Linked DNA regions of Alligator mississippiensis. The protein of the gene in region 2 interacts with the protein of the main gene of each other region in a pairwise test. Links are inferred from orthologs where the notes say so. Each region holds a gene or a part of one and is shown on either strand. Other genes may lie near its edges. The genes, in order: SUV39H2, RASSF1, STK4 and LATS2.

What was found.
Region 1: the proteins of RASSF1 (region 2) and SUV39H2 interact in a two-hybrid assay, tested with the Homo sapiens proteins (2 studies listed by BioGRID and IntAct). The link is inferred for Alligator mississippiensis from reciprocal best matches to the Homo sapiens genes RASSF1 and SUV39H2.
Region 3: the proteins of RASSF1 (region 2) and STK4 interact in binary tests that used the Homo sapiens proteins (3 or more experiments, as listed by UniProt). The link is inferred for Alligator mississippiensis from reciprocal best matches to the Homo sapiens genes RASSF1 and STK4.
Region 4: the proteins of RASSF1 (region 2) and LATS2 come close enough for resonance energy transfer, tested with the Homo sapiens proteins (2 studies listed by BioGRID). The link is inferred for Alligator mississippiensis from reciprocal best matches to the Homo sapiens genes RASSF1 and LATS2.

What each region holds. Positions count from the first base shown.
Region 1 is NC_081827.1:15,549,240-15,557,135, forward strand, and holds the start of SUV39H2 (histone-lysine N-methyltransferase SUV39H2), read left to right. Parts: upstream 1-4,563; 5' UTR 4,564-4,587; coding exon 4,588-4,606; intron 4,607-5,951; coding exon 5,952-6,097; intron 6,098-7,058; coding exon 7,059-7,730; intron 7,731-7,896. UniProt on the Homo sapiens protein: Histone methyltransferase that specifically trimethylates 'Lys-9' of histone H3 using monomethylated H3 'Lys-9' as substrate.
Region 2 is NC_081835.1:43,829,631-43,837,788, reverse strand, and holds the start of RASSF1 (ras association domain-containing protein 1), read left to right. Parts: upstream 1-4,858; 5' UTR 4,859-5,089; coding exon 5,090-5,378; intron 5,379-8,158. UniProt on the Homo sapiens protein: Potential tumor suppressor. Required for death receptor-dependent apoptosis. Mediates activation of STK3/MST2 and STK4/MST1 during Fas-induced apoptosis by preventing their dephosphorylation.
Region 3 is NC_081832.1:16,838,811-16,846,383, reverse strand, and holds the start of STK4 (serine/threonine-protein kinase 4), read right to left. Parts: upstream 3,352-7,573; 5' UTR 3,140-3,351; coding exon 3,108-3,139; intron 1-3,107. Other genes in the region: TOMM34 (mitochondrial import receptor subunit TOM34), read left to right, coding at 3,734-3,854, 6,297-6,396, 7,206-7,358. UniProt on the Homo sapiens protein: Stress-activated, pro-apoptotic kinase which, following caspase-cleavage, enters the nucleus and induces chromatin condensation followed by internucleosomal DNA fragmentation.
Region 4 is NC_081824.1:433,393,772-433,401,881, reverse strand, and holds the start of LATS2 (serine/threonine-protein kinase LATS2), read right to left. Parts: upstream 3,471-8,110; 5' UTR 3,347-3,470; intron 1-3,346. UniProt on the Homo sapiens protein: Negative regulator of YAP1 in the Hippo signaling pathway that plays a pivotal role in organ size control and tumor suppression by restricting proliferation and promoting apoptosis.

The DNA.
Region 1 (7,896 bases), on a different chromosome or scaffold from region 2:
ACTATGAAAGCAGTCTTAGACTGAATGATTATCTAAATTACCTGTTTGTCCTCTGTTAAGTAATTTATTTTAAAAAATGTACACTTGAGAAGGCCCTGAAAAGGAAGATGCACAGAGACGAGGGCAAGGAGACGGACAGGCAGGCAGGACCAGAGCAGTCTAAGGGAGAACTGCTGAGGCTGTTTTGTCCCAAGAAGTTAGCTTTGCTTTTTCCCCCCACAACGGATGTAGTTGAGTCAATAAAAGGTACCACCAAACATATCTTGTGCAACACCCCAGCCCTACTATTTCCTGCATAGACCCATTAGGCTTCAGGGAAGAAGAAATCTGCTAGTTGTGTTTTTAAGAGCGCTGTCTGCTTTGCTGCTTGGGACTGGTTGGGCTCTGAAACCTCAAAAAAGGTACAGTCCTCCTCCAGGAGCTGAATCAGCTTCTGGGGTACCACAGATGGAGGAGTGAGGTGAGCAGGTGGGCACAAGGATCAAAAGGCTGGGGATCAAGAGTCCAAGGAGTCAGAGGCTCACCCGCTCTAGCTCTGTCTGGGCTTCTGAGAATATTTAAAGAGAATATATAAAGCTAGGGGTCTTAAGCAAGTGGTCCCTTGGGGATTGTGACAGCTAGGATGACATGTGTAAATGTGTTAGACAAAGAGGAAGGAGTAATTGATGTGTTAGGACCAATTTATGTGCTAAGACCAGGTGCAGAGATGAAAAGAGACAGATCTTCCCCTGGAATTTTAAATCTTGCTTAATTAACACATTCCAAGGCCCACTGCAAAACTAGATGGTTTTGGTTCTTTGGTGTCCTGGAACAAAGAAACCTCTCAGATGTCCTCTTTTATTTTCCTAGATTGTACAATTTAGGCTCTTAAATGATCACTGGCAACACATTTGTGCAGGCTTGTTATTGTGATGCCAGAGAGAAGGTAAAAGTGAAGTAAGAAAGCTTTGATGTATTTTGTACTTAACTTTGTTTAGCATAATGGTTAGCTTTCTTAGAAAAGGACTTTATTCATATCTGGCTTATCTGAACAGTCTGATTTGTTTGGAAGAAACTGAATGACAAAGGGGGAAATTGGGCAGATATGATTTGATTCATAGAATCATAGAGAAGTCAGGCTGGAAGGGACCTCCAGAGGTCATCTGGTCCAGCCCCTGCCTAAGGCAGGATCATTCCTATCCAATTGTGGCAGGGCACTGCATCTCCTGCCACTTTAGGTCAGGCAGCCTGCTGAGCCACTGGCAGGTGAGGGTCAGGGCAGATTGCAGTCAGCTGCCCCAGGGGGCTGGCAGGTGAGGCTAGGCCTGATCAAAGGAGTCACTTGACTGAAGAGTCACCTGCTTGGAGGAGATGACTCTCCTCAATCAAGGCTTAGATGGGGTATAAGCCTAGATCCTGAAAGCAGGGCTGGCAGTAAGGCACATCACCCAGCCGGAGGGCTGCCGCTAGTGAGGAGAATGATATCTGGAGGTTTGGATAGGAACTAAGGGGATGGAGGAGGCTCCTGGGGACCCAGTGTGGGATTCAGAGTCCTGAAAAGGGGCTGAGTGCATAGGGACCTGTGGAGAGGCTGGATGAGCCTAGAGAGAGAAAGGGGCAGAGTGCATGGGGGCTTGTTGAGAGGCCAGAGGAACCCAGAGAAAGTAGCTGAGTGCCTGTGGCCTGTTGAGGAGGGCTTGACAAACCCAGAGAGGAGCTGTGTGCACAGGGGCTTTGTGAGAGGCCCAAAGGAAGCGGGTATGTAGAAAGACCTATGGAGGGCTCTGAACTTGCAGAGAGAGCAATGCATGGAGGGACCCGAGAATGGACCCACAGAGAGGAGAGGGCTGGCAGCTAAAGGACTGACCCTGGGAACTTCAACTAGCCTATGCTGGGGCCAGGGCCCAGGAGTGGCCCAAGGGTGAGAGAGCCCACCAGGAAAGCTGGCTAGAGCTGGGAGCCTGGAGCCTCAGCTGACCCAGAGACAGGGCCAGGGCCTAGGAGAGGCACAAAGGTCCTTGTGGAGACCACAGCTAAGAAGCCATCAGGGAGTGTGTAGCCCAGTATGACGATGGCTGGTAGGGCTCCACGAGTGAGATGGGGCCAGAGATAGAGGACTTAGAGGAGAGATGAAGCTAGGGCCAGGGAGCCCAGTACCTAGCAGCCTAGGAGGGATGCTGGACATCTAGGGGAAGCCCAGAGAGAGATGAGTATGATCAGGTAGGCCTGAAGCTGGTCCTTGGTAAGACCTAAAACTGCACCATCAAGGCATGGCAGAAAAGATGGGAGGCACCTCAGGGATGGAAGGGGGCACGGCTGTGGAGCCTCCAGGGGAACGTCACAGCCACCCCTGGGATGCGACCCTTTTACAAGAATCCATAATCTAAGCTCTACAAAAGACCAGTGTCAGCCCTGACACAACATGCCTAACACCCTAACTTGCCAAGGGTAAAGCAGGGGAATCAGGCAGACAAGGTCCTGTTTCTATGAAATGTCCTTACATACTCAGGGGATCCTGTGTAGACGGCAAACCCCCCCACAGTGGGTGTGCCTACATGTACATATGAATGTGACATAATAAACTCTGGCACTTACCATACCGGAGTTTATTGTTCCTGGGCACTGCGTTTACGTGTGTGTCTGGGATCGCAGAACGTTAAACTGGGTCAGAGTAGCCCTGGCTGGCAGGGAACCCAAGGTATCAGCCTGACAGCCTGGGGCTTGTTCTGACCCTGCATCACATGCCGTGGAGGGGCTGGCTGGGGCACGAGGGTGCGCCAGTGCAGGGCTAGCTGGCAGGCAGCCCCTGTACTAAAGCACCTTTATGCCTCAGCCAGCCAGGTCAGAGTCTATACATGCGCTGCTATGCACAAAATACCTCCACAGCAGAACTGTACTTGTATTTACAAATACTAACTTGCTGCAAAGTTTATTAGTTTCCTGGGGCCTAAAAGGGCTGCACATGCAGACAGCTGTTTCTGTGGAGCTAATTAGGCAACTCCACAGTAAACCTCTTGTATAGATGTGCCCAGTCTGTATCAATCTGACCATGGGGATTAACCTAGGGTTACCATATTTCCAGTTGCAAAAAAGACCCTGGGGGGGGGGGGGTGAAATTCAGTTGTCAGGGGGCAGTGATATGCCTGTGCCCTGCATCTGCCCCTCACTCCTAAGCCACAGCCCACCCCCCTTGCAATTCACTCCCAACCCCCAGACCATGCTGGTACCCCTCATTCCCAACCCATACCCCCCATACCCATAGATGATGTGTAGGGGGGTCATGAGGGCATGTGCCCCCACCTGAGATTGGCCACTGCTGAAGCTGCTGCTGGCTTCTGTGGGTGGTTGCTGCCCCCGCACCGCTGCCGATGCGGCCGCCTGCAGACCCCGCTCGCTGCTTGTCCCTCCTCCCCTTCTCCTGCTGCTGGCAGTGGCTGCGGGCGGTCCCTGCTCGCTGCCATGGTGCACCCCCCAGTCGCAGGATCATGCCCCATGATCCTAACCCATAGTCCCCTGCCTCCATGGTGCCCACAAGCCACAGCCCCCACAGTGCCCTTAACTCCCAACCCACAGCCCCTGCCTGCACGCCCCTCACCCTGCTGGTGCTCCTTGCTCTCGACATGCAGGATCTCCCCAGCCCTGCTGGTTCCCCTCACTCCCAACCCACAGCCCCGTTCCCCCCAGCCCTGCTGCCCCCCCCAAAACCCCCACCCCTTCCCCTGCTGGAGGGGCAGACACCTCCCCTGCCTTCCTGCTCTGCTGAAGCCCCAGTGCCAGCAGGCACCCAGCCTGTCACACACCGAGACCCAGACACAGATGGTCTCCAGCCCTGGCCCTTTCCCTTCAACCCCTGCCCACTACAGACTTACTTGCCTGCAGCTGCCGGGGCTCACACAGGTCTGTGATGCCCCTGCATCCAATTGCCCTCTCCCCCAGTTCTCCCCAGCCCCAAGCAGCTCCTTGCTGGGGCAAGCCAGGAAGTGCCAAGGAAAACTTGGATGCTGAGCAGAGGCAGAGCAAAATCTTGGACATTTGCTGATATTTTAAAAAACCACCTGAAAGGGAGATGGGAGGACGTGTCTGAGAAAACCCAGACGTAGGGCAACCCTAACGAACCAGTGTGGATGGAGTCTCTTTGGTGTGCAGCACACTGCCAGATTCAAGGAGCTGCTGTGCAGCACACTTCTGCAATTTGAGTTGGCCCCTACATAGAGGATAACCTAGAGAAAAGCCTGTTACAAACATGGGTTCAGGGCACTGGCCATCCCAGATCCCGGGATGCTTTCAGGTTTTTAGAGCCGGTTCACCTTGTGCAACTGATCCTGTTGATTTACTAATAAAGGCATCATCAAAGCCCTTCATTTCTAAAGAAATAACCTGCTCTGGGAGGACCCTGCCATCCAAGGCCTAACCCTGCAAGCAGCAGTGTACGCGCAGGGCAGGAAACAAAGAGAAACCAGCTCCGGCCCGGCCGCGCCGCCACGCGCAGAAAAGGCGGGAAGCGCCGTGGCGGGAAGGAAGGGGGGGCGGGGGCGGGGCTGGGGAGGTGCTGCGCGCATGCGCGTGCGCGGAGGGGCGGGGCCGAGCCGGGCGGGCGGGACTGCCAAGATGGAGGGCTGGCGCGGAGGTGAGCGCGGTGCGGTGCGGCCGCTACGGAAGGGCCCGGTCCGACCCGACCCGACCCGACCCCCACCACCCTCGTGCCCGGGGACGGGGCCGCTCCGCCGCCGGCAGCGGGCCCTGAGGGCGGGGGCGGGGCGTGTGCCCGCCGGGAGCCGCCCGCGAGCGGGGCCTGCGGCTGCGCGGGACGCTTCAATGGGGGGGAGGGGCTACACAGAGCGCTTCAGAGGAGGGAGAGGGGCTGGATAGAGCGCTTTAATGGGCAGGACAGAGCGCTTTAAAGGGTGGGAGAGGGGCTGCAGGGCAGAGGACTTTAGAGGGGGGGAGGGGGCAGGACAGCACTTTAAAGGAGGGGGAGGGACTGCACAGAGATCTTTAATGGGCAGGACAAAGTGCTTTACAGGGTGGGGGAGGGGCTGGGTAGAGCGCTTTAAAGGGCTGTACAGGGTGGGGGATGGGGCAGGACAGAGTGCTTAATGTGGGGGGCAGGACAGCCCTGTAACGGGTGGGGGAGGGGGGCTGCATAGAGCGCGTTAAAGGGCTGGGTAGAGTGCTTAATGGGTGGGGGGACAGGACAGAGCGCTTGAAGGACTTAGGAGCAGGGAGCTGTGCCCAGGATCACCTGCAGGGCGGAGGTGCGGTAGGCAGCCGGGCTCAGTGGCACCCAGGATCATCTGCAGGGCGGAGGTGCGGTAGGCAGCCGGGCTCTTGTCGCTGTGGTTGTCCAGAAACGAGCACACGTACAAAGCCGAGGTGCACAGAGGGGGTGGCTGGCGACTTGGCTTTAGGCTTGCTGGAGCGGCGCTCGGACCCCCTGACCCTTGCTGCCTCCTGGGCTGCCTGACCAAGGGCTGCTGGACGCGCTGAGGGAGGTTGTGGGCCGAGGCTCACCCAGAAACTAGAAGCCTCCTTTGAGAAGGGAGGCCAGTAAAGACGTAGCAACAGAGTTCTTGGGAGAAATCGCATGGAAACAGGGAAGGGAGCGAGGCTCAGAGGTTCGTGTGGAGGGAAGCTCTCGGATCACTTCGGCCAGCACTCGCTGCCCCCTGAGCAAGTTGAGGGAGCCTGTGGGTGCTGTCCGGTAAAGCTGCCCAGAGACGAGCGAAGGAGTGAAGTGGAAGACAGTCCCGCGTTCGTCCCGGTTCTCCCCAGCCAGATCCTTCCTGGGCTGGTGGATGTGTGACACGGGATACCAGGCAAGATGGACCTATGGTCTGATCCAGTAAATAGCAGTTCTTACATTCTTCAGTCTGGGGGTTTGGGAGAAAGTGAACACAAGTCATCTGCTGAATTTTTTTTTTCAACTCAGCTAAGGCATGAAATGGGTAAAGAATCCTATTTTCTTATTGTAGCTTGGTATGTGCCATGTCTAGCTGCACATGAGACCCTCCAGGAATTATGTAGGAAGGAGAATCTCACATGTAAATCCATTGGAATCGCCAACAGGAATCTAAAGAGTTATGAGGTGGAATATTTGTGTGGCTACAAGGTAGAAGAGGTAAGATAAATGTCTGGTCTTATTTAGCACTTTGATGAATGCATCAGTAGCAATTTGGAAGGGGAAAGAGAGTTTTCCCTAAGGTGGACAGTAGTAGGTGAGGACAGGCCTCTGGTCAGGCACCTATTGATATTGAACCAAAACCCCAATGGTGTTTCTTGAGCTTCTGAAGTTGTATGGAAGGAAGGTTCTGCTTTTCATAATGGAGCATGACATGATTGAAATGAAAGCTCTCTTGTTGATTTTATTTTATTCGCAAGTAAAGGACCATGACTTGTTGGTACCATAGTCACTTTGAACAGCTAGGGCCAGCTGCTGTACCTGGATCAGCATGGCCAGAGCACTGCTGAAGTCACTGAGGAAACTTGCGGTTACGAGAGCCTGCTTACGTGACTCCAGTTTCAGGATCTGGCCCATTTTAAAACAATTTAAAGTTCTTATGTTATATACAACCCAAGTTCATGAGACTTAAGTGTTTTGGACATATCATTCCTTTAGGATGATGTATGTAACTATGACAAATAGTGCTGTTTGAGGGTTGTTTGGTAAGTTAAGACTTATTTTGTTCTTTTGTGATTTTACTTTATTCCATTCATATACCAAAGTTAGTAAATATAACCTTTACTAGAGCTGCTTTAGCAAATTAACCCTGTACTGGTTTCGTGGAAATAGTTTTTAGTTTGTTTTCTTTTTTCCCCAGCTGTATAGTTATTTTTGTGCCTCACTTGCAGTGATAGAGTACATGGTACCTCATATGAAATGCATGATTTTTCCATTGCTGATTAGCATAATTTTTTCTATGCATTTATGCCACCTCCTTAACTTTGTGTTTAATTTTATGTACTATGGATGTGATAGCGAAGTATTTGCGTCACTGAACAAGCCCACTTTTTTTAAGTATTGAATTTTGCTGAGCTGTTACAAGTTTAGACATAACGCTTCTATTATTTTGTATTTCAAGGGCACAGAATACTACCTTGTGAAGTGGAAAGGATGGCCAGAATCCACAAATACCTGGGAACCTTTGGAAAATCTTAAATGCCCATTGCTCCTCCAAAACTTTCATAATGATCAGAATGAATATTTATCTCGAGCAAAGCAAGGGAAGGCACTAATAATGAGAAAACATGGCAAGGCTTTGAAACCTGCAGTAGTAGATTACATTGTAAAGAAAGCTAAACAAAGAGTAGCTCTACAGAGATGGAAAGAAGAACTCAACAGGAAGAAGAACCATAAAGGGATGATTCTTGTAGAAAACACTGTGGATCTTGAGGGTCCTCCTTTAGACTTTTACTACATTAATGAATATAAGCCTGCTCCAGGAATAAATGTGATCAATGGAATCACAACTGGCTGTGAATGCTCTGATTGCCCTGCTGAGAAATGTTGTCCCAAGGAGGCTGGATGTCTTTTGGCTTACAATAAATATAGGCAGTTAAAAATCCAACCGGGTTTGCCCATCTATGAGTGCAACTCATTCTGTAGATGTGGTCCTGATTGTCCTAACAGGATAGTACAGAAAGGCACACCTTACTCTCTTTGCATCTTCAGAACTAACAATGGCCGTGGCTGGGGAGTAAAAACCCTCCAGAAAATTAAAACAAACAGTTTTGTGATGGAATATGTTGGAGAGGTATGTATTTATCTCATGTAGATGAATTATGGAGTAAAAGTGTTATTATTTCAGAAGAGGGACTTTTTAATAATTGTTTTTTTAATTGTTTTGCTCTTCATGATTCTGCCATGTAGTAAGTCAGTATGCTTTAACAGTTAAAGGAATACACTGAAAAAATGTCAGT
Region 2 (8,158 bases):
TCAGCTGCCCCTTCTTTCTTTCTTTCCGCCTGGCTGATCTTGTAGCAAGCAGTTAAAAAGATAAGAGCTACTGGTTTACTGATCAGTGATCAGCATCTTTCTTAGCAGGAAAGGGGAAGGTGGATATGAAATGGAAATTGATAAGAAGAGAGGATTTATTGTATAGCTATGCTGCTTGGCACCCTTCCAGGCAAGAACAATGCTCAGTGTTCACCCAGGTACTTTTTGCAGAGGATCACACAATACTTTAAAGAAAGTAGGGGATTACCATCATGCTGGACAGAAGGAGAAGGCAGAGGTGAAGGGAAGACAAGTGATGTGCCCAGGGTTGCACACTCAATTGGTGGGAGGCCTAGGATCAGAACCCAGGACTCTCCACTCCTGTTGCAGCTTCCTTTCATTGAACCTTTTTCAAGACAGCAAAGGTGTATGCCCTTAAGTGTCAGTGTTTGACAATGTTGTCCTGTAGCTGTTTGGCAGTGTTTGGTAATGTCGTCTTGGCCAATAAAAGACAAATGACTTTTCAGACACTGCCCTGAATTGCCCAAGTTGGGTAAGTGGCTAATGTCCATAGTCAGTACTGCAACTGATCTCCATGGGTTAGGTCAGTATCACCAGACCTATTTGAAAGTGGGAGAAAGTGAAGCATGGAGAGGGGAAGTGTCTTGTCCCAGATCACAGAAGGAAGATTCATGGAAAAGCTGAGCTATCTCCCAGGGGTGTCCTCCAGCCACTAGACCCATCTCAGCAAGAAGCCACCTTTTGGGCCTAGGCAAAAGCTCTGCATTGGTGAATAGTGTCCATAAAGTAGGCTGGAGCCACCAGTTCATAAATTCTGGTGGAGAATTCTGATCTGAAAAGAGTTGTGAGGAGAAGACAAGGCAGCAGGAAGGGTCTGCTTTCCTAGGGAGTTCAGGCTACACCAGAACTACCTTAGTTCTGGTAAGTTGAAAGTGTTTTAACTGGTTACTCATAGCAAATGCTTTTCTTGGGTTTGTTCTTCCCCTGCTTTGGTGTCAGGAACCTGGGAGGTTGCAAAGTCAGAGGGCATCAGTCAATGTTCCTTCTGTGTCCCTTCCTGATTACTTAGAGATCCATAGCAGGGAATGACCCTTGCATTTCTGGCACTAGTGTGAGGATCCTTTCTCTGTCTCGCCAGCTGTGAAAGAACATCACAGCACATGCTGGGCCTGGGTCTCTTTTGCAATAGAGCCTCTGTCTAGAAATCAACTAGGGGCATTCAAGAGCTCGAGCTGAGAGCAGACTCCAACAGGATGCTGACTCCATGCAGGAGCGGGGATATTGCTACTTTACCTGAATCATTCTCTGAGCTGTGACTGGGACTGCAGGGCTGGGCTGGGCTGGGCTGGGCTTTAGAAAATAATCAGAGCTTGGCCTGCCTTACCCCAAACTCCCTAGGGTGACAGGAGGCCAGCCAGTGAACCCTCCCTGCAACTGTGGGAGCAGGGTAACGGGGAATTTTCATGGCTTCTGGGTGCACAATCTAAACTGGAGAGTAAGGAAGAACCTAGCCTCTTCCCAGAGCTGTGGTATGACAGGATATGGGTCTATGTCCAGTTGGCATAAGTCCTCCTCAGAGAGGTAGGGATAAGCACATTTAGAATATAGGGTTTGCTAGTGTGATCTGCCCCCATGGTAAAAGACAAACAGATTAAACAGATTAGCCACTATGTTGGAGGAAGGGAGTAAGCCCAAAGGGCAGAAAAGTGGAGTCCGATCTCATCTACCCTGTGTAAATTTGGAGTCTCCCAGTGAAATTAACAGAATTACTCCACACCTACACTAGACCAGTACCTCTACTAACTTCCATGAAGTGACCCTGAATCTATCGTAGCATCTAGAGCAGGGGTGGGCAAAATGTGACCTATGGGCCAGATGCAGCCCTCCAGGCCATTCTATCCAGCCCACGGGGCCCCTAAAAATTTAGAAAATTAATATTTATCTGCCCCTAGCTGCCTGTCATGTGGCTTGCCAAAACTCAGTAAGTGGCCTTCCACCCGAAATAATTGCCTGCCCCTGATTTAGAGCAACATGTTCACCACTGTTCTCCCTATGCAGGTGGGCAGGTTGTCTGCCTTTGGTGAGGTTTTTACATCCTCCTTTAGAACACCCAACATTGACCACACTTGTAGACTGGATGACTGCTCAGCTGAATTATTGATCTGTTCTGATGCAAGAGGAAAACTATTGTTCCTGATTGCCAATAGCACTATCAAGCCAGCAGGTGGTTAGGGGAAAATAAGTTTTCCAAGATCTGGAAGTACTGGGTCAGCCCAAGAGGAGAAGAGATGGTGACAGGAAAATCACTGCTTATTTCAGTGTCCCCTGCTTTGACCAGCTACCCTGTTAATGCTTCCTGGCAACTCTCACTCCCAGGAAATGGCTTGTCCTTAGAGTAAAAAAAAATCCAGTTCAGTTTGAGCCCGTCCTGGATATTTTTGATCTATTCATCTTGTATTTCAGTGCCAGCAGGAGCCATGCCCCCAAGGAGCTCTCTTTTCCTTGGTTAGGCCCACCCATTGCTCTGATTCTATTTTTTTCCATTGAAACCAGACAGTGAGCTGGTCAAGCTTTGCAGCTGATTGTGTGCAGGTTTTTAACTGCAATACCATGGTGACCACCAGCAACAAACGGGACTGGCTGCCAGCTGACTGGGCTTCTTGGCAGCTGTGGCAGCCACAGGATTTGTGAGGCTGGCCAGAGGACCCTGAATAAACTCCAACATATGGAGTGGCTGGAGCTGCTTGCACTCAGCCAGTGTCTTTATGGGACAAGTTCCATCTTGGGCTACCCCAGCCATTGCACAGCTGCTGCTGCTGCTCTGCAGATAATAGGCCCAGGGGGCTGGGGATGCTCCTCTCTGCAAGGGCAGAGGGGCTGAGAATCAGCAAACAGGAATTGGGTCAGAATGAAGCATCTAATGCTAATGTAGAGGATGAAGTCTGATGTCTGTAAGCTCTCTGGAGACCCTGTTGCTTTCCTCTCATCTATATGTTGTCATTGTGTGGGGAGATGGGTCCGTGAGGTGCTCTCTGCAGATGAAGGACACCCTGGAATGAGGAAGAGGAGGAGCATTATCCTCAGTGTCTCAGTCATCCCAAGCCAACTAGCCTTGAGCAGCTCAGAGAAGGCCAAGGACTGAGGCAAACCCCTTGACATTTTGGGGATCTCAAGATGCTGCCAGCTGCAAGGCCATTGTTTGAGTATGGCACTAGCACCAAGAGTCACCCCAATGAAGAGGTGGAGTCTGTCAGTGCATGAGTGTGTCAATGAGATACTTCCAGCCTTGGTGGGATGGTCCCTGTTCACCCCTCGGGGTGCTGATAGGCATTGCAGTGGACTGAGCCCAGCCTCTTACTGGTTGTTTTGGAGATTCATGGAGATAAGGAAGAGGAGTGAAGAGGAGCTAATCAGCCAAGCTCAACTGCCATTGGAAGAGGAGGAGGTAGCCTAACAACAGCCTTGTGAGCTCACCACCCATGGCGGTGAAGTCCCATGTCAGTTGGGGATCCACCCCCCAACTACTTTTCATTAGGGCTTCAGATTTTTTTTCCACTAGCCATGTTCCACACATCAAACAGATCCCTTCTCTGTGAGTGGGGTCTCTTGCAGGATTGCACAGTACAAAGCATCTCTTTGGGGGTTAAGGCAAGTGTCTCTGGTTCTTGCAATGCTGTGTTCCACAGGCCACATGCCTGAGGGGATCTTCCCCCTGTGCCCTGAGGGGAAGCTCCCACTGGCAACTGAGCTCTTCTAGGCTCTGATGTACCCCAGGTGGAAAGCCTTCCCCTTGTGATGACTCGTAGGTGAAGCAAAGCCCAGCTCCTCTTAATGAGCCAACCCACCCATAACACCCTGCTACTCCCTCCCTTGAGCCATGGACGGTGCCATTTCTACAAGTCTCTTAGCTATGTGCTTTGACCTGCTGATGGCAAGTGGCCTCTCTCAGCTCTACTTGATTTCACCTCCTTCATGGCATAAGCCTGGGCCACCATATGTCCTTTGTTGCCTGCTTCTGTCCACATTGGGTCTGGCCCCATTTCTTGGGAGACTGGTGCAAGCGTGGCTGTTGAATTCCCAGGCAGCTGCCTGGCTTGGAGCTGGGTATTAAAAGCCGTGGCTGGAGCCAGGCATCCTACCAGGAGTGTAGAGAGTAGCAGTTGCTGATGAGGCAGGGCTGGTAGGAAGCGAGGAAGGAGAAAAGATGCATTCCTGGTGCCACAGGCTGCGAGTGCGGTGTGGGGGGACTCACAAGGCACCAGCAGCAGCCCCTTTGCCTAGCTACAGGCTCTGCCCTGTGGGGCACCGCTGGTGGGAGTGAGCTCTGCAGATGGCTGCCTGCTCCTTGCTCCACAGGGAAGCCACTTCCTTCCACCCTGGTTGGACCCATCCGGGAAGGGGGAAGATGTCTGTGAAGAAGAAAGTGAGGCCTTATTCTTTGGGGTGAAAAACGAAAATGGCTCCAGCCCCATTCCTTGCCAGGCTGTGCTGTGGCAGGAAGAGGCTAATGCCATGGCACCAGTAGCGAGGGTTGTCCTCCCCCCTCAGCAAAGCCGGGTCTCACGGGCGGCTGCCAAGCCCCGAGGTGCCTTCCTCTCCTGCGGGGACACCCGTGCCAATGGGCCGCGGCAGCCTCTGGTCGCTGGAGCGGCACCCCCGGCTCTGCCCCGGGACGGGCAGCCCGGGCGTGGGAGCTCCCGGCTCCGGGCTGGCCCGACCCACGCGAGGCTCCAGCGCGGGCGGCAGAAGGGGGCGGGGAGGCGGGCGGGACGGCGGGGCGCCGCCGCCGAGGGGACGGGCGGGAGCGTGACGGGACTCGGAGGAGCCGCCCCAGGTGCCGGGACGGGGGCTCCTCGCGGGCCGCCGCGGCCTCGGCGACGCCCCTGCCCCGCAGCCCTGCCTGCCCTCGGGGCGGCTCCTAGGGCCGGGGGAGGCGGCCGCCCACTCCTGCTGCGGCCGGGCCAGCCCCCGCGGGCCGCCGGGGAGGGGAAAGTGAGGCGCGGAGCGAAGGAGCGGGGACCGGGCGGCCCTCGCAGCCCCGGCGCAGGACCGGCCCGGGTGCCCGGGGATGGCGCGGGCGGCGCGCGGGGGGCAGCAGGAGATGATCGAGCTGCAGGACCTGGCGCCGGCTCGCGGGGGGCGGCTGGAGCGGGCCAACGCGCTGCGCATCGCCCCGGGCCGGATGCCCGAGCTGCTCGGCCGCGTGCGGCACGCCCGGGCCGTCCCGGGCCAGGACCAGGGCCAGGGCCAGGGCCAGGGTCACGCCTTCCGGCCCCGCGCCCGCGGCCACCACGCCTGGTGCGACCTGTGCGGGGACTTCATCTGGGGCGTCCGCAGCAGGAGCCTGCAGTGCGGCCGTGAGTACCTTGCCGGGCCGGGCCGGGCCGGGGGCGCAGCTTCCTTCCCCCCAGAGCCGCGCAGCGACGCCCTGCGCTGTCCCCGTGGCCGGCACCTCCTGCAGGCAGCAGCTGGGCCCCGGGTGCCACTGCCGCGCGAGGGGTCAGGCGGCGGCGGCGGCACCACGCCAGGGACTGCCCGGCTGCACGGGTTGGTACCAGCGGGCTGGGGACTGGACACGCCTGAGCCTGTGGCCAGAGCAAGCCACAGCAGTTTCCCCCTTGCCCTCTGCCCTGCACCCGCCGGGCTTGCACACAAGTAGTGCCCCTCTCTGTTGGCGGCGCTTCAGGAGCACCCTGGCCTTGCACTTGCCGGCAGAGCAGTTTCAATTCAAATGTAAAAGGGCATCAAAGGAGTCTTGTTGATGGGCAGGGGAAGGGGACTGGGAAGGTCACTGAGGCCCTGTAGGGAGAAGCACCCCGTTTGCCCTTGTGCTTGACCATGCACCCATCCAGCAACGGGCCCCTTGGAAATGCCACGGAGAGAGTCCAGTGCTGCCTCCAGCTCACCATGCCCTGCCAGTGAGGCTGCCCTGAGACAAGCCCAGCACTCCGGCCGCACAGCTAGGTTTGGGCTCTGGCCCATGCAGGAGGCTCCAGGTCTCCGGTGTGAGCAGGTCCTGGTCATGCACTGTGTATATCTCCAGCATGACAGAAGTCTGTCCTCACAGGGTCACTGAGCACACTCTGCTCCGGACCCAAAAATGCAGCAGTGAGGCTGCTCCGAGTCAGCCCCACAGCTGCTTTCAAGTGTGCAGGAGATGGTGGGGCTGCAGGTGACTGTGGGGGATGCCCCAGGACAGCATCCTGGTGCAGTTCTGGGTGTGGAGCCTGCAGGAGAGAGCAGGTAGGGAGGGTGCTTGAGAAAGGCCTGACCAGGGCCTGCTGCTGGCTGGGGTCCCTGTGTCCCTGCCCCACAGCAGAGATGTAGCCAGTCAGATTTGGGATGTTGAGCCCTCTGAGTCCTGCCTTGGTGTCTTGTTGCTCTTCTGAGGGTTGTCTGAGAGGGAAATCTAAGGAGCTTCCTCAGTTAGGAATCAGCCCAGAGCCCCTGGGAATGGGAAGTCAGGAGACTTTGGGACACCGCCCAGCACAAACTAGCTTTGGGGGCTGATTGCATGAGTTAAGCCAGGGATTGTCAACCAGGGGTACGCATACCCTTGGGGATACTTGAGACAGCCCCAGGGAGTATGCATGGCGACACAGGGAAGTGGCATGTAGTGGCGGCACAGAGTGGTGAATGGTGGCAGCAGCCACCGTGTGTCACTTCCTCACCCCCCACTACCACCATTCACCATTCTGTGCCTTTGCCACACACTGCTTCCCTGCGCTGCTGGCTTTGTGTCAGGTTGGCTGTGCTGTCAGCATCCCACCCCCCTGCTCCCTGGCCAGCCATCAGCACAACCCCCTCACCGTCTGGAAGGGGGTATACTCCAGAAGGGGTACCCACTAGAAGGGGTACACTCCTTTAAAAAGGTTGCAACCCCCTGGGTTAAGCTGTTCCCTGGCACCAGGCAGAGCTGGATCCAGGGTGGGTGCAGTTGCATCTCCCCCCTCCTCTTCTTTTATTTCTGGTCCCTACACATTTTAAAACCAACTGCCTGGCAGAGGCAGCAAGATTTCTATTCAGGCTGGGGGGACAGAGTCAATTGACTTCATGTCTCATTATCATCTCCCTGATTCCTGCTAATCTGTCTCCACTCCACAAGTGTCAACAATCCTCTATCCTTTTTAAAGGTCTTGATGTTCTGCTAGTCAAACTATTCTTTCTTCTGTAATGCTGCTGTCTGTTAGTTATTTCTGGTAATCTCTTCTGTTTCACAACCCTGTAGACTTTTTAGCTCTAGCTAAAAAGCCTTAGCTCAGGTATGGTAATATTAATTTAGGTGGAGACATGATTGACTGTGAAGTATTGGGGCACTATCCAGATGCCCAAGGTGGCTAGATTTCATTTTATGAATCTGAATGAGATATACATGTAACTAGAATGACTACAGGACTAATGTCACAATATAAATTTCATAGACATTAGGGCTGGAAGGGACCTTGAAGATCATCAAGTCCAGCCCCCTGCCCTAGGGGCAGGAAGTCAGCTAGGGTCAAAGGACCGCAGCAAGATAAGCATCCAAGTGTTTCTTGAATGAGTCAAGAGTAGGTGCCTGCACCACATCTGGAAGGAGTCTATTCCAGGTCTTGGGGGCTCGGATAGTAAAGAATGTTTTTCTTATGTCCAGCCTAAAATGGTCTTGCAGGAGTTTATAACCGTTGGTCCTTGTTTTCCCATGGGGCGCTCTGGTAAACAGCCATTCTCCCAGGTCCTGATGAACACCCCTTGTGTGGCAGTCACCAGGTCCCCCTGAGCCTGCGCTTTTCCAGACTATCTTTTGACTATTTTTGCCTGGTTTGTTGTCTGTGTGTTCTTAATTTTGTATATAATCTAGCAAACTATTGCATGCTCCAATAGTTGTATTTTTTTGCTTTGATCTTAAGCTGAATAATATAGTCTAGCCTCCTTAATAATAATAATAATAATAATAATAGCCTCCTTGCATATTAGTAAAGCATCTAGGTTTTTAGCACTTGGTATGTGGTTTAAAGTTATGCCATTCCAGGACAGGATTATCTCTGATCCTGCTATGCAGCTGGTGTTACACTAAAGTGTAGCCACTGAGGATGTAGCCTTAGTGTAAATACCCTACCTGGGTCCCTCTCTCACTGGCCCAGGTCAGGCCCACTACCCC
Region 3 (7,573 bases), on a different chromosome or scaffold from region 2:
AGCAAACTCAGGAAGTGGCGAAATACTGAAAGTCACTAGGCTCTTTGCAATGATAAGCATTAAACCAAAAGAAGGTTACTTGTTCTTGCTTGAATAACAATACCTAGTCACCATTACCAAATAGCTTGAAATGTAGTAATCTAAAGGGCAGATACTACAGAATAAAGTGTGTAGAATTAGATCCAGCCACACACCAATTCTACATGATTTTAGAAGATCCAAACATCACATGAGCTCTTCAGGAGCCAATTTATTGCCTATTTCAAGTGACACTAAGCTTCCCTGTTCCTGAACATATTCAGAAATTCAATGGTATTCTTTCAGCATCTAATGAGCCTGAATCAGGAGTGATCCAAATTATCTAGGACACCCTGTCTTTTACAGCATACCTTTTTATAGAGGGTTAAGATGGAAACAAAAACAATTTTGCTTTCTGGAGTGTTCACATCTAATCTGGGTCAGGTATAGTTAAACTTCCATATAGACAATTATATACTAAATTATAGGTAAACTAAACACATTACTAACAGCAGATATTTTGCTCCCTTGTCAGTTAAACTAGAACAAAAAAAAGAAAAGAAAAGAAAGCCAGCTGCTATCTGTCACAAAACAAAGGAAACTGCCTCTTCTGCTCATCTCTCAAACATACAGTTAGAAACAGCTGCACACCACCGATAGTGTTCTGACAGACTGAAACTTCATTCAATTGCTGAAGTGCTTCCAAATTATCCTCTGTCCAGAGTTGTTCAACAACAGTCTGCAGTGAAATGATAGGCTACTAACAGCTTGGTTCACATGTCTTTGAAATCCCAAACTGACACTGCCTGCACACCCAACAGATGTTACTTATCAGAAAAAAGTAAGAGCGAACATTAAGGAATGTTAGCAACAGTATACAAGGCATTGAACTGAGCTTCAAAGGATAAACATCCTGTCACTGCTAGCTTGCACTTTTAACTGCTAAATGGAATAACTAGGAGATTAGAAAATAAATCATTTCATTCCCCGCCCCCCCTTAATACACATGTAATAAATAGTGGCCTTTGTTGATGAGTAACTTTAATTAAAAGGGAAGACACAAGTGACTTCCAAAAATCAAAATTCTACTTCCTTAGACTAAATATGCCCTAGGCCTTTCCCAAACTAATTAAAAAGAAATTTAACATCTGATTTGACATGTCTCAGTCAGTCCTAAAAGGAAAAGTTGGGGGGTTTTTTTGTTTTTTTTAAGAGTACAGAATGAATCTCCTATTGAAAAATGGAAGATTTTAAGTCATTAGTTTTTCATGATCTAGCAAGGTTTCAGACCTAGTTATACTAGCATGTTGTCTGTCATTCAAAAGTCCTCTTAATTAGACTTTTAAGATTAACTCCCAATATTAACTCAATCTACAATTAGAGGGAAAAAATGAACAGATTCATATTGCTGGCAACTTTTCATACTTCTACACTTTCAGGGGTTCTTTAGAGAAGGTTTGACACCCCCCATTATTTCCCATCAGCTTCCGGTTTTGCTTGTGAACAATATGAGCCAAAGGTTGCAACAGAATAAATTACACATCAGTTGATCCATTTCTTCCTCTTGGCTACTTAAATCATCTGGTTGTGAATTGCTCTGTCTAGGCTCCACTGCTCTCATCCATAGTCAGAGATCATTGAACCTTAAAATAGACAGGAACATTGGCAGAACGCAGAGAGAACATGATAGATCTCACCTAAAAAAAGAGCTTTGTGCAGTTTTGCAAGAGATACACAAGGTTATCACAACAACTGCTACCCCAAAATACCCCGAAATATTTCTAAGGTATTTTAAAGGGTCACCAGCTTGACTTCTAAAATCACCGGGAAGTGAACTTTCCCAAATGTCAAAGAAAACATAATTGTCATAGGATCTATGATACAGTGCACGTGCACAGATGAAGATAAAGCCCTCCAAATATTCTGCTATAAGGAAATGCGAGTTCCCTTAGCTATCATCACTTGCCAGACTTAGTGCTTGGAGACCTAGAAGTAATTACAGGGCATTCAGAACTCCAGACGGATTTACTTATGACTAACAAATATATTCCACACCATATAAATGGAATAAGTGCATCAGCAACAAGGAAATCCCACAAGTTTTGCTTTCCTCCATGAAATATTTTAGTTGCAACTCTAAGCAATATATTCTATTAACTAACTGATGCTCCTTGCACAGAAAGGAAAATTGTGAAGACGCTACCTCAGTCATCTTAGCTGTACCTACTGGGTTTCAGAGAAAAAGGGTATTATTAAGAAGACAACATTAGGTCTTTATTTGGACTTACAGCAATGACCAGATTTCCCCTCCTTTTACTCCCTTTTTTTTTCAGTGCCTTGAATACCAAAGGTTTTGGATTTTCCTGTTGCCTTACATAAAAAGGCAGGTTAAGCTGGAACATTTCCTCGAGTTCCCGATACCTATTTAGACTGGCAACCCCCAGAGAGCAAATGACTCTTATTCTGTGAAGAGCTGTGGGAATTCAGCACTTCAACAATGCCTCTTTGATCATGCTAAGGCAGAGGTGTCTTAAACATCACGACTACAAAAGCACAGCTCTCGTTTCCATGATTGGCAGTTACGTTGCCAAGACTCCCGTTCCTTGCCATACTTGCATTCGGTAACGGTGACTCGGTGTTGTTATTCAAGCAAGAACAAGTAACCTGACAGGGCCCCGAGGCCTTTCTTGCTTCACCCGGCGCCTTGCTTTCTGAAATAAGTCCGGTTACAGGCTGGACACGGCTCCTGCGTGACAAGCCCGGCTCCCCTAACCCCACATAACAACAATACACCTGCGAGGATGGTTTGAAGAAGGGTGGAACCCACGACCAAAATCCCCAGCCAGCAGGGGAGCGACTCCTCCGGCTACAAACAAACGACCTATTTAATTCGGGGCTGATTAATTCGGGCGAGATCGGACACGCGTCAATACGCAACTAAGTCGCAGCAGCCGCGACTACCCCGCGGTGGGGCGTGGGGCCGCCCCCGGCCCCGGCGGAGGTGCTGCCACCCCGGGCGCTCGGAGCCGCGAGTCCCCATGACAACCGGGTCCGCCGGCCCGCCCCCGCCTCGCCTCGCCTCTCCTCACCGGCGCGGGTTGCGCAGCTGTACGGTCTCCATGGCGCGGCGGGCCCGTGCGGGCGACGGCGGGAGACGCGCTCACTCCGCTATGGCCATGGCCACGGTGCCTCCTCTACCTCCCGCTCCACCGGCTCCGCGCGGCTTCCGCTCCGCTTCCGCCTCCTCCGCCCCCACACGCCGGAAGCGTGGGGCGGGGCCGAACGGCAGTCACGTGGTCTCGCGGAGAGGGCGGGGCTCCGCGCCTCCTGCGGCAGAGGGGCGCGGCCAGGCCGCGGGACCGCCCCCAGCCCGAGGCAGTTTCCCAGAATGCGTCGCGCCCTCCTCATGGGCGGGTGTGACTCGTCGCGCGCGTCAGGCCAGGCTCCTGCACGCGCGGTGTCCAGCCAGCCCCGCCGCGTAAAAGATGCGCCTAGTTTCTAGCCCTGCCCCGCCCCGCCCCAGCAGGGAGCCGGGCCCGGCCTTTCCCCGCCCCGCTGTCGCGAGACCCTGCCCCCGGGGGCGGGGCAGGGGCAGGGGCAGGGGCGGGGCCGAGCAGAAGCCGGCGGAGCTGCCCCGCCCCGGCTAGGAGCCGGCAGGAAGCGGCGCCCGGAGCCCCCGGGGAGCAGCCGACGCCCGACTGCGCCTGCCGGCCCCATGGCCCCCGAGCCGCGGGTCGCGGCGCTGCGCAGCGCCGGCAACGAGCAGTTCCGCAGCGGGCAGTACGGGCAGGCGGCTGCGCTCTACAGCCGTGCGCTGGCGCTGCTCGAGGCAGCAGGTAGGGGCGAGAGGAGGGCCCGGCTCGCCCTCTGCCTCCCGCCGAGCCTGGGGCAGGCAGGGGACCCCTCCGCGGGACACCGCGCGGCTGTGAGCTGAGCCCCCCCGCGCGGTTCCTGCCAGGTGCGGCCCCCTGGCCCGTCCGTCCTCCCGGGGCGCGCCAGGGCGGGGCAGAGCTGCTAGAGCAGGGCCCCTCGCAGCAGCGCGGCTCTGCCGACTCCCCCCGCGCCTTCGGTGGCCCAGTTTAAAAATAGTGCCGCGCGGTGGAGGGCAGCCAGCGGGTGACCTGCTCTCGTCATTGCGGAGGTAACGCGCGTTTGGCCGGCTGGACCCGCGGGGAGCGGCAGCCTCCTTGCCACAGTGCGGGTTGTTGCCTTATATGCAGAGCCCAGGCTCCTCGGCCTCTTGTCGGCCCGGATCAAGCACAGTCCTAACTTGCCTGGCAGGGGAAATGCCATGATCACTAGGCCTGTGTGAAACGGCTGGTATTCGCTTCGGATTTGGCCCATTTGGGGGACAGTGATTTGATTAAATGATTCGAATCGCTGTCCCGATTAGATTCCGCCAAATCTGATTCGGAGAGTCGGCAGCAGCCAAATTTCTGAATCAGCCAGGCCAGGCCCATCCCCAACCCCTCTCCCAGGTGGCAATGGCTGCCCCAGCTCCCAGCACTAGTAAAAAAATAAATAAAAAGCCCTGGATCACCAGGTGTTCCTGGGTGGGGGGTGATCCCTGCTGCCCCTCGCTGCATGGGGGCATGCTGCATGTCTCTGCATGACCCCCCCACCCCCCTGACCCTCCCCCTCACTCCTCCAGCCCCTTCCCATGTGTGCACCTCACGGGCCAGCTCTGGCCCTTTAAGGAAAAAAAAATGGAAACAACCCTGGGACTGGCTGCTGGGGGGGGCAATCCCCACACCATGCGGGGGACTCTGCGCAAGACCCCCCAGCTGCTGCAGGAGCAGTGAGTCTGGGGCTTTTCTCAAGTTTTTTTTTTTTTTCTTAAAGGGCTGGAGCTGGCCCAGGTGAGGCACCCGTGGGGGGGGTCGGGGGGCTTGTACAGAGCCCCCCGTGGGGCAGTGGGGGGGGCAGCAGGTTTGGACCCCCCCTGCTCAGCAGCACCCAGTGAGCACCGGGGCTATTTTATTTTTTTTAAAGTACTGGGAGCTGGGGTGGGCGGGAGCAGCCATGGTGGGGGGGGGCTGACCAGGGTCCCCTCCATGGTCCCCTCCCCCAGCCAGCCCCTCTTCCCCTGCCCCTAGTACTTACCAGTTCACAGTCAACTGCAGCTCCCTGCTGCAGCCACTGGGGACTGCCCAAGTCATCAAAGCTTTCCAAAGCTTTTCCGAAGATTTGGAGAGCTTTGAGTCGATTCAGACCTTTAAATTGGTCCCCTGATTTGATTCGGATTCTGAGATTCGGCCGCTGAATCGGGCCAAATCTCCTCCAGATAGAATCACTACCCAAAGCTTCACACAGCCCTGATGATCACCCTGGTGGCTTCCTAGTTGCACCTGGGGAAGACCGCTCTGCTGGCATGGAACAGTATCTGCATAGTTAATACATAGTTAACCCTGGCTTTATGCCCACCTTATGGAAATGGGAGACTCCTCCCTAGCTTGCTTCTGGGGCCTTATGGCTAAGGGCAAGCAAAACTTGGAGGCATCCAAACTCCTGGCTTGGGCCTGCAAGTAGGATGCCCACCAAAGGATTCGGGAACATCTGAAGACCCAGATGGGGGTGGAAGATGTTTGCCAGTAGTAGGGGCACCTATGGTTCTGGACTGACTCTCGAATTTGGAATTTGTTTTGGCAAATTTGGCTTGGAATTATAAAAATGTTCAGAAAATTATAAATTTGGCTTGGAATTATAAAAATTATAAAAAATCTTGGAAAATTATAATAATTAAAAAAAAATCACAATCCAGCCATGGCCCCACAGCACAACATAAACCCAGATGTGGCTGCCAAGGTCCCAAACTTGTTCCATCATAAAGTTGCTAGGGGCTTTTCTTTTTAAACCTTCTACAGGCTCATGTGTTCTGCTGTTGAGTGCTGTCACTACCAGCTGCAGCAATGAAAAAGACAGAATTATGAACCGGGAAACTAGAGACTGGGATCTTCTGAACTCTTAAGCCTAGATCTGATCCACATCGGGATGATCATTGTTTGCTTCTTTGGGGAGACTGACAATTAAGTACCTGATGCTTTGAAGATGAAAGATGAGCTTTATTGCTGGTACTGATCAGTAACTTTAGCAGTTGAGCTTCCAAATGGCTCTCTTGAGCCATACTTCAATATCTGTGAGATCCATCTTATTTTTAGTACCCCTTTTCTGGTGTAAGTAGAAACATCTAATACAGGAATTGGCCATAGCATGCACTGAATATATTGTCCCACATTTCCCACCTTGAATTTATCTTCTGTTTTTGTTTCTGCTCCTAGGGGAGAAGGATGCTGAGGAAATGAGTGTCCTCCATTCAAATCGAGCTGCCTGCTATCTGAAGGATGGGAATTGTAGCCTCTGTGTTAAGGACTGTACTGTGTAAGTAGCTGTTACCCAGATGAAAACCTAAACCGTGTTTTTGTTGTGAATGAAATAAGATAGTGTGTGGTTACCAACTGGGCCTTTCATTTAAGACTATTGGGAGGAAAAGTTAAGTACCTTTAGGGAACCATATAGTAGCCTCCATCCCAAACACTGGCATTGGTCAGCCACCCATAGCAAAACACATATGGGCGAAGCATTTTGCTTGGCCTTTTGTTGTTGGTGTCATTTAAACAAGGTGGGGAGAAGATGTCAAATTCATTTGCTTGAAGCAGTACAAAGGCCTCTCTTCCTTGCTAACCATGTATACATTACTTTTATTTTTTAATTTTTTAATACTGTTGAATTGGCCTTCCATTCCCTACTCACTCCTGCAGGATCATTCCCTACCTAAACCTTTCCACAGCTCTACATCTTTAGTTGTTCTGTAGCACAGCTGAACTGCAACCTGTGTCCATAGCCCTTGTCCCAGCATACTTTCCTGCTTTTGGTTTTGTTTATTCTGAGAAAAAAGTGACTGTCACTGGGAGATAGAATTAATATCTTTCTTCCTTTGTCCCCTGGCTACAACACTGCACACCTGAGAGATGCAGAAGTTCCCCATTCACTTCTGCAGGATCATTCCCTGTCAAGCAAATATTTCCAAGGTGCAATTCTGTAGTTTCAAGGTTGTGCCTTTAAAACTTAGTCATGAAAAGCTGATACCTGACAAACCCCCAGTCCATCAAGTACACCAACCTTCTCCTCTCTGCTGAACTTAACTCAGGTGGCCCAGTGACCTCTCTTGCTTCCTCCCCCTGATACAGTGCACTGGACCTTGTTCCTTTTGGAATCAAACCTCTGTTGAGGCGGGCAGCAGCCTATGAGGCTCTTGAGAGATACCAGCTAGCCTATGTGGACTACAAGACTGTATTGCAGATTGACTGCACTGTACAGGCTGCACATGATGGTGTCAACAGGTAACTTCTAAGTTTATACTGTTACACAAGCCAAAATGGAGGCTTGACAATACAGGCAGCAGCCTGGGTCACTCACAGCCCTGCTTTTAGGATGGTTGCTCATGGACAGGTTGGGTGACTTTGGATTCTGGTTAAATAGCAGAAACCCATTCATCTTCTACCCCTATGCTGTGAATTCTTTAGTGTTAGTGTTGTTTGCTGTCAGCCCTGCAGCT
Region 4 (8,110 bases), on a different chromosome or scaffold from region 2:
GGTTTGAACTGAAAAGGCAGAAAAACTTCCCAGTTTCACTATTCTTATCACTGAGGGGTGGCCTACACAGTCTCCAATCCACAGCTGGAAGTGTCACAGTGAATCATGCCATACCCACTCATGCCTGCTTTGCATGTGCAAAACCCCAGAAGTAAGGCAACACAGCAGCCTTAGAACAACCCTAAGTGCACATCAAAAAGCTTGCCTCAGACTGAGAGCCCAGCAGCAGCTCTGGGCATTCACTTGGCATTGCTCTAGCATTTCTGACCTCATTTGAGGATTTGGCACCCAGAGCAGGAGTGAATGGGTAGGGAACGCTCCACTGTGGTGAGCTCTACAGGCAGTGCTTCTGTGGGAGGCACCTGGGAGTGGCACAGAAGTCTTGTCCAGAGGAGTTTTGATCATTCAAAACAAACCCCTCCAAATAAGTACAACATGGAGATACACTGGGTTCAATTCACTCCTGGCATGAGTCAGAGGTATAGCAGCCCAGTATTTTTTAGTCCAGTATCTTAGCTGATCTACCTTCTGCCTCATCTTCACACACATGCACCAGGTGGTGTTGCTGTGGATGGGCCTGGTTGGGCAGGCTCACCCAAATATGAACCTGTACAATGCCTGGTGCAAGTATAAATTCCTTGAGAGTTTTTCACTGTGCCAAGGAGAGCATTTAATGTATAAGGCAGGGTCATAATTTACAATATAAACGATTTGCTGTGATGTCAGAGAGCTGATGGCTGCCTATATGCCTTGCCTATGCGCCTTACGTTGGGACACACTTAAATTTCTGCTCCTAGCACAGCTGACATGTACATATTCCCCTCAAGCAGCAACAAGAGGCCTTATCTATTGCACAAAGTCCCCTGTCTGAGACAAAAGAAAGAAATACATAATAAATGCCCAGTAACAGGATTGTTCTCACTAACCTTATTTTCCTATTCATATTTCTGAGTGACTAATACTTGGGAATGGAGAATACAAGAGACTGAATTTATTCATAGTTCAAGCCTTATGAAAGCACCCTCTGAGCCAACTTCCTCTTACACTGCCACCCCATTGAAGCCAACCCTGACCTTTAGGGACCACCCTCTTCAGGAATGGAGGGTTATTCAGCCGGCATCCTGTCTCCGAGCTGGCCACCTCCCCTGAGCAGCAGACACTTTGCTGCAGCGGAACTCTGACCATTTGTTTCTGAGAATTTCTCCTGTTACTAAAGGAGTCAGCTGCAGGAGCCAAAGCAAAGATTCCTAAAGCTGGCCAGGAATGGGGTCCAATCTGCATGTTACAAGACACAGCCTCAAACTGTGAAACTCAAATTATGAATCTGATGAAACATAAGGCAGTGGGAATAGCAAGATGGCACCAGTGGAAACTGCTTCCTTCCTTAGATCACTTGCATATCATTTCACCTCAGCTGAGTATGCAGAGAAAAGAAAGAACTGGCTCCTCCTATTCTTTATTCAAGTCATAGTTTCATAGTTTCATAGTTGGTAGGGTTGGAAGGGACCTGAGCAGATCATCAAGTCCGACCCCCCGCCATGGCAGGAAAAAGTACTGGGGTCAAATGACCCCAGCAAGGTGTTCGTCTAACCTCCTCTTAAAGACCCTCAGGGTAGGAGCCAGCACCACTTAGCTTGGAAGTTGGTTCCAGATCCTAGCCGCCCTGACTGTGAAGTAGCGCCTCCTGATGTCTAGTCTGAATCTACCCTCTGCCAGCTTGTGACTGTTATTTCTAGTCACTCCTGGTAGTGCTCGGGGGAACAGGGACTCCCCTGATGCCTGCTGGTCCCCTCTGACTAGTTTGTAACAGGCCACTAGATCCCCTCTCAGCCTTCGCTTGTGGAGGCTGAACAGGTTCAGGTCCCTTAGCCTCTCCTTGTAGGGTCTGCCCTGCTGCCCCCTGATCATGTGAGTGGCACTCCTCTGGACCCTCTCAATGCTGTCCACATCCCTCCTGAAGTGCGGCACCCAGAACTGGATGCAGTAAGTACTCCAACTGCGGCCTGACCAGTGCCGCATAGAGGGGGAAGATCACTCTTCAAACCCCTTCAAAGTCAGTGGGAGCTGCAGGTGGGGCTGGCACGGCCAGATCTGGGAAACCTTATTTACAACCGGCTCCTATGTCTGCCATGCAATATAATTTGTCACTTTGCCGTGCAAGGAAACCCATAATGAACATCTCCCTCAAAACAACCCTTTCTTGCAGAGATCTATAGAATCATAGAAATGAAGGAACTTCAAGGGGTCATCTCATCCATCCCCCGGCTCTAATCCAGGATCAGATATACTTAGGCCAGCCTTGACAGATGTTTGTCTAATCTGTTCCTAAACCACCACAAAGATAGGGAAAACACAACATGTCCTGGCAACCAGTTCAGGTGCATCCATGTCTGAGGCTCTGACTCCCACTGGGAGTGGTGACCCCACAGCTCTCTCAAAGGAATTGCTATGCAGTTAATGATACAATGCTAGTGTCTCCACTCCCACACACCTCCCATGTACCACATGTAGAAATGGGATTCTGGCAGAGTGTTGGGGTGAGGGAACAAAAGCCAGCAACAAGGAAGAAAGAAAGAAAGAATTTCTTTACACCTAACTAAGCCCATTCATATATTTTGAGTTTCTTAGTCTTAGGATCTTTGATGCAATCTTCCATTATTATAGGGGAAGGAAGGTGAGGTTTTTTGCTGAAACTTTGCATTCTCTACATAAAACTGTTAAATTGTACTGAACTAATTTTTGACACTACATCCCACATTTCTGCCCATTTTGGAGTGTTCCCCCTCTGGCTCTTTCCAGCTTTGTTTTTTCTTTTCAGTATTATTCACTTAATTTAGTCTGGCTACTCCTGTAACAGCAAGTGACTTGCTTTGGGCAAAACAGTTTGTACACTAGATTTATTGTCTTCATGCTTAGATGTCCATCTTGTAATGTCTTCTGTATATGGGCCCATCCAAGCTTCTCACTCTCTTTTCTCCTCTTTACTTTAAGCTTAGTGTTTTGGAGGAAGTTGATCAAACTGAGCATTCTTGTGAATTTGCGCTTGGCTGCCAAGAATGCAAGTGATTCATCCCTCTGTAAGGAGAAGTGCTGGCAATAAAACCCTCCCGTTCCCCTTTTTTACATGCAAAATACGGTTACTGCTCCAAACAAGTAAATCTTTATACTCAGAACAAAGCGCGCTATTAATTGCATGACAACCAGAATTCTTAAAATACTTTCAAGATCTATTCTTAGAACAAGGAAATATTGTCACCAGAGGCTTGTAATTGATTAGATGTAAATTATAACTACTGGCACAACATATCAAAACGGTACCTCTGCTTCAGATCCCTGACATTTTTACCTTGTCAGCAGCAGGACCAAATTCCAGCAGTTTTTCTTTATGTCATGGAGAACTGAAGACTCTTCCAGGAAACAGCAGAATCTTTTTTGGGGGGTGTGGGGGGAGGGGAAGAGAGGGAAACATGTTATTTGCTTTAATTAGGAGAGAGCAACAGCTGAACTATCTGTTTAGTGCAAGAAATTATCCGGAGTGCAGAACTGGTTGTTGATAACCACGGCGTTAGCATGGCAGTACTGGTGCAGGCTTTAGCGCCACCTACCAAACTCCCAAAGGAATTCACTTCTCTGCAAAGGGCATTCCATTCCAGTGCAACACTTAGTAATATGCAAATTGCTCATCTGATCAACTTCCACATATATGTATCAGGAAATCCTAACATCCCACTCCATTGAATGATAGGCTTTCAAATATATCAGTTGGAGATGTTTGTATTTTGTCTTTGATTTAGCAGGGACATTTTCTCTTATTTGACAGATCCCATTAAGCAAGGCAGCATGGTATTGAATGCACATCATTATGGCTGTGACAACAAGGCTTGTTCATGAGTAATCCAAATTTTTGAGGGCTTGATTAAAGTATATTTGAATTAATCTTATTTTTGCAATGGGGGTTACAAAGCCTAAGCCAGTCCAATAAAGTTTTATTAAACCAAAGCTGTACCTGCTAAAGCCATCTGTAATAAAAGATTTCCTTTCAGCTTGTTTACAACAGTTTCCTGCAGATTGTTCTGCAATTGATTAATTTGTTTCTAAGATGCACAGCCTTTTACTTATGGGCAGCATGTGAAAAAGAGACCAGTGTACTTGTAAGGCAGTTTGAAATATCTCCATTTACTAGACATTTGCATCCACATCCAAACTTTCTAGATGAGATGTATTTGGAATCTGTTATTCCCCAGGATCCATATGAATAGCAGGTCAATTATGTTGGTCAGAAAGAACTTGCTTTAGATTTTATGTGAGTTTTACATTTGTTCACAAATGACCTGTATAATGCTGACATTGCACTGAAAGAGAATGAAGGGTGAAAACTACCCTCCCTGAAGTCAATGGCCAAACTTTGATTTTAATGGGCCAGAATGTACTGGATGCAAAACCCATTTGTGTGTGTCAAATTATAGTAGTTATCACTCAGTATGCCAGATAAAGAATTCCTTTTCAGTCAACAGCTGAAAAGATGCAATTCACTCTTTCAAAAAAACCAGCATCTAAGTTCCTACTTTCTCTTGCTCTATTTTATGATTCCAGGACATTTGGTTTTACTAGAACTATGCCTGTCACTTTTGTTAGGGTGATGTCCCCATTTCTATTGTGCAGTGCATCTTGAAGGAGGTGGGTTGTCATAAAAGAACTGTTATTTCATTTTGAGTTAAAACATCACATAATATAAATTCTCAGCACAAGGCATTTCCTTTCTTTAAGACAAAATAGTTAACAGGTATTGCAATATACATGGAGCAGCAGTTAGAAAATGTGGTTTTACATAGCATATTTTAACACTTCCCAGGTATTTTGTAACAGCTATTACATTGTGGGCCTAAATAGTGTGTATCTGTTGGCTGACATCACTCCACCTAACATCAGAAGAACAGTGGCCAGCAGGATAGAAAAATTGAGACAGTCTGAAGATGTAAGACACCCGCTGTACAACTATCCCACAGCACACAAGTGACTGAAGTCATACAGGAGCTTTCTTACCAGCACCCAACCTCTTGATGCCACACTCAAGGAGACATGACTATGGATATGAAACAAGAAGCTGAAAATATACCTGCAAGCGAAAAAATGGATATTCTGGTGTCTACATCTTTACCACCAGGGGCCGATGAGCCACGGCAAAGGTAGCAATGTCTCAACCGCCTACACAATGGAGTTGGACGCTCCAAGAAATGAATGAAGAAGTGGGGCTATACCATTAGTTCAACCACCTGTGACTGTGGCACAGAGCCTCAGACTATGCAACACCTGCTGCAGTGCCCACTGCTTGAAGGCACATGTACAATGTAAGATCTTGGAAAAAAAAGTATAATAAATTGAGCACAAGCATGTGGAACAAAATGGTCAAATGTGGTGTAGAGATATGAGAAGATTGTGGACATGTAATGACCTTGTAGGCAAAGTATAGTTATAGAGCAGACTTGCACATTGAGCCACAAAGGTTACAATGCTTGCCACATGAAAATGAATAATTTTAGGAACAGAGTTTTGCAAGTTCCTCACAATCTTTAAAAGCAAGAAAAGTAGAATGGCTCACATGACATCAATTTTTGTTATGTAGCATATTGCATTGTCTTCACATTCTTTAGGGTCTAGTGAATCACAGTATAACAGTACAATACTAAATAAAGCTGTGTATATGTCAATTATTATGGTTGTAGCTTGACAAGAGTAGGTGTATTTATCAGCAGTTTTAGTTGCAATAAGAAAGTTGGTGTGCAGTGCCATAAATGATAGTAGATTAAACCCTTGTCTAAAAACCTGCTGCCCTGGAGTAGCAACTAAGAGGAAAATGTCTGGTATGGTGTGTGTGGGACTAACCATGGCCCTATTGTTCTACATCAGAGTCACATGCACTTACACACTGAAAATGTGCAGTAATGTATCTGAGGCTGTACATGAAACTGAGGATGTACATGAAACTGGATACATGAAGGGGAATTCTCAGTTAAATCCTTAGAAACCAACTAGATAAGTATTGGGAGTAGTCCTCTTTTAATATAACTCTACCATGTGAGGAGAAAAAAATGGACCTTTCTGGGGAAGTCCTGAAGTAATGACGGGCCTGATTTTGTAGATCTTATTTATGTAAATAGTCCCTCTGCAGCATAAGGAGGACTCATCATTATCATTTTCAGTAGCTGATGATGACCACATTTCATCTTCTGACAAAAGCATTCAGAGATGCACTCTTGGGTGGCAAAATAAGATTTTTGTCTGCAACGTAGTCACAGACCAAATAGACAGTGGTGGATACTGCAGACTAGCAGGGCTGATCCTGAACCTGAAACTTTGGATTTTGCCGCTGCATTCTTGATGTGTCTATTCGTAGTCATTTCCAGCATCATGGACAACACTGCAACATATTCATAAGCCTTTTGTTCCCAGCTTCAGACATCAATACTGCCTTGACTGAAGGGTCATTTTAGAAGATCCTTTATCTTCTACAAATCGGACCACATCAACATCTACCACAGCACAGTGCTGCATAAAGCATTTCTTAATAAGCTAATTTAAAGATATCCTGATTATATGGCCAGACCATCTTGACTGTGCTTTTATAATCATGCCACCTGTGCTTCACATATTTGCTCACTCCAGTATTTGGAACTTTGTCCTGCCATCTTAATTTCATAATGTTTCTTGGACATGGGTGAGGAGACTTCTCAATAATTGCCACACTGATTGCTTTTCTTCATATGTGTGTGTGCATGGGCACATTTATATCGTCCAATGGCAGCACTGCTCTTTTTTCTTCTGTTTCTAAGATGATGGTACATTTGGTGGCAAGAATTTAACTGGTGAGAGATTGAGGTAGGCAACTTATTGATAGTCTTACTGGTCATGCTTAGTTCCTTGTTGGCAGATTTTTAAAGTGCCTAGGAAGTGTTAGTAAAACTCCATTGACTTCAGGCATGGGTGGTTCCAGGATTTCATGATGAGGAGTGTGGCATACCACATTTCAGATGGTGAGGGGATCGGAGTGAGGCATGGCTGGAGCACCTGGGCCAGTGGGGGACACTAGGGAGCCAGGCAGGGAGTAAAAATACAAAATTGGGACTCTCCTGCCAGCACTATTCCCAGCTGACCCGGGGGGGAGCCCCAGAATTGCTCAGGGTGGTGGACAGGGAGTCCCAGAACCCTGCCCAGGGTGGTGGGTGGGTTGGTATTGACCTGGAAGGACGTGGGCAGTGGGGTCCTGAAGGGCTCGGTCCTTGGACTGATACTCTTCAATGTATTCATCAGTGACTTGGACGAGGGAGTGAAGTGTACTCTGTCCAAGTTTGCAGATGATACAAAACTGTGTGGAGAAGTGGACACACCAGAGGGCAGGGAACAGCTACAGGCAGACCTGGACAGGTTGGACAAATGGGCAGAAAACAACAGAATGAGATTTAACAAGGAGAAATGCAAAGTTCTGCACCTAGGGAGGAAAAATGTCCAGCACACCTACTGCCTAGGGAATGACCTGCTTGGCAGCACGGAAGCAGAAAGGGATCTCAGAGTCCTAGTGGACTCCAAGATGAACATGAGTCGGCAGTGTGATGAAGTCATCAGCAAAGCTAATGGCACTTTATCATGCATCAGCAGATGCATAACAAACAGAATCAAGGAGGTGATACTTCCCCTCTATCGGGCGCTGGTCAGACCGCAGTTGAAATACTGCGTCCAGTTTTGGGCGCCACACTTTAAGAGGGATGTGGATAACCTAGAGAAGGTCCAGAGAAAGGCCACTTGTATGGTTAAGGGCTTGCAAGCCAAGCCCTATGAGGAGAGACTAGGGCACCTGGACCTCTTCAGCCTCCGCAAGAGAAGGTTGAGAGGCGACCTTGTGGCTGCCTATAAATTCATCATGGGGGTGCAGAAGGGAATTGGTGAGGCTCTTCTCACCAAGGCGCCCCTGGGGGTTACAAGAAATAATGGCCATAAGCTAGCAGAGAGCAGATTTAGACTGGACATTAGGAAGAACTTCTTCACAGTTAGAGTGGCCAAAGTCTGGAATGGGCTCCCAAGGGAGGTGATGCTCTCCCCTACCCTGGAGGTCTTC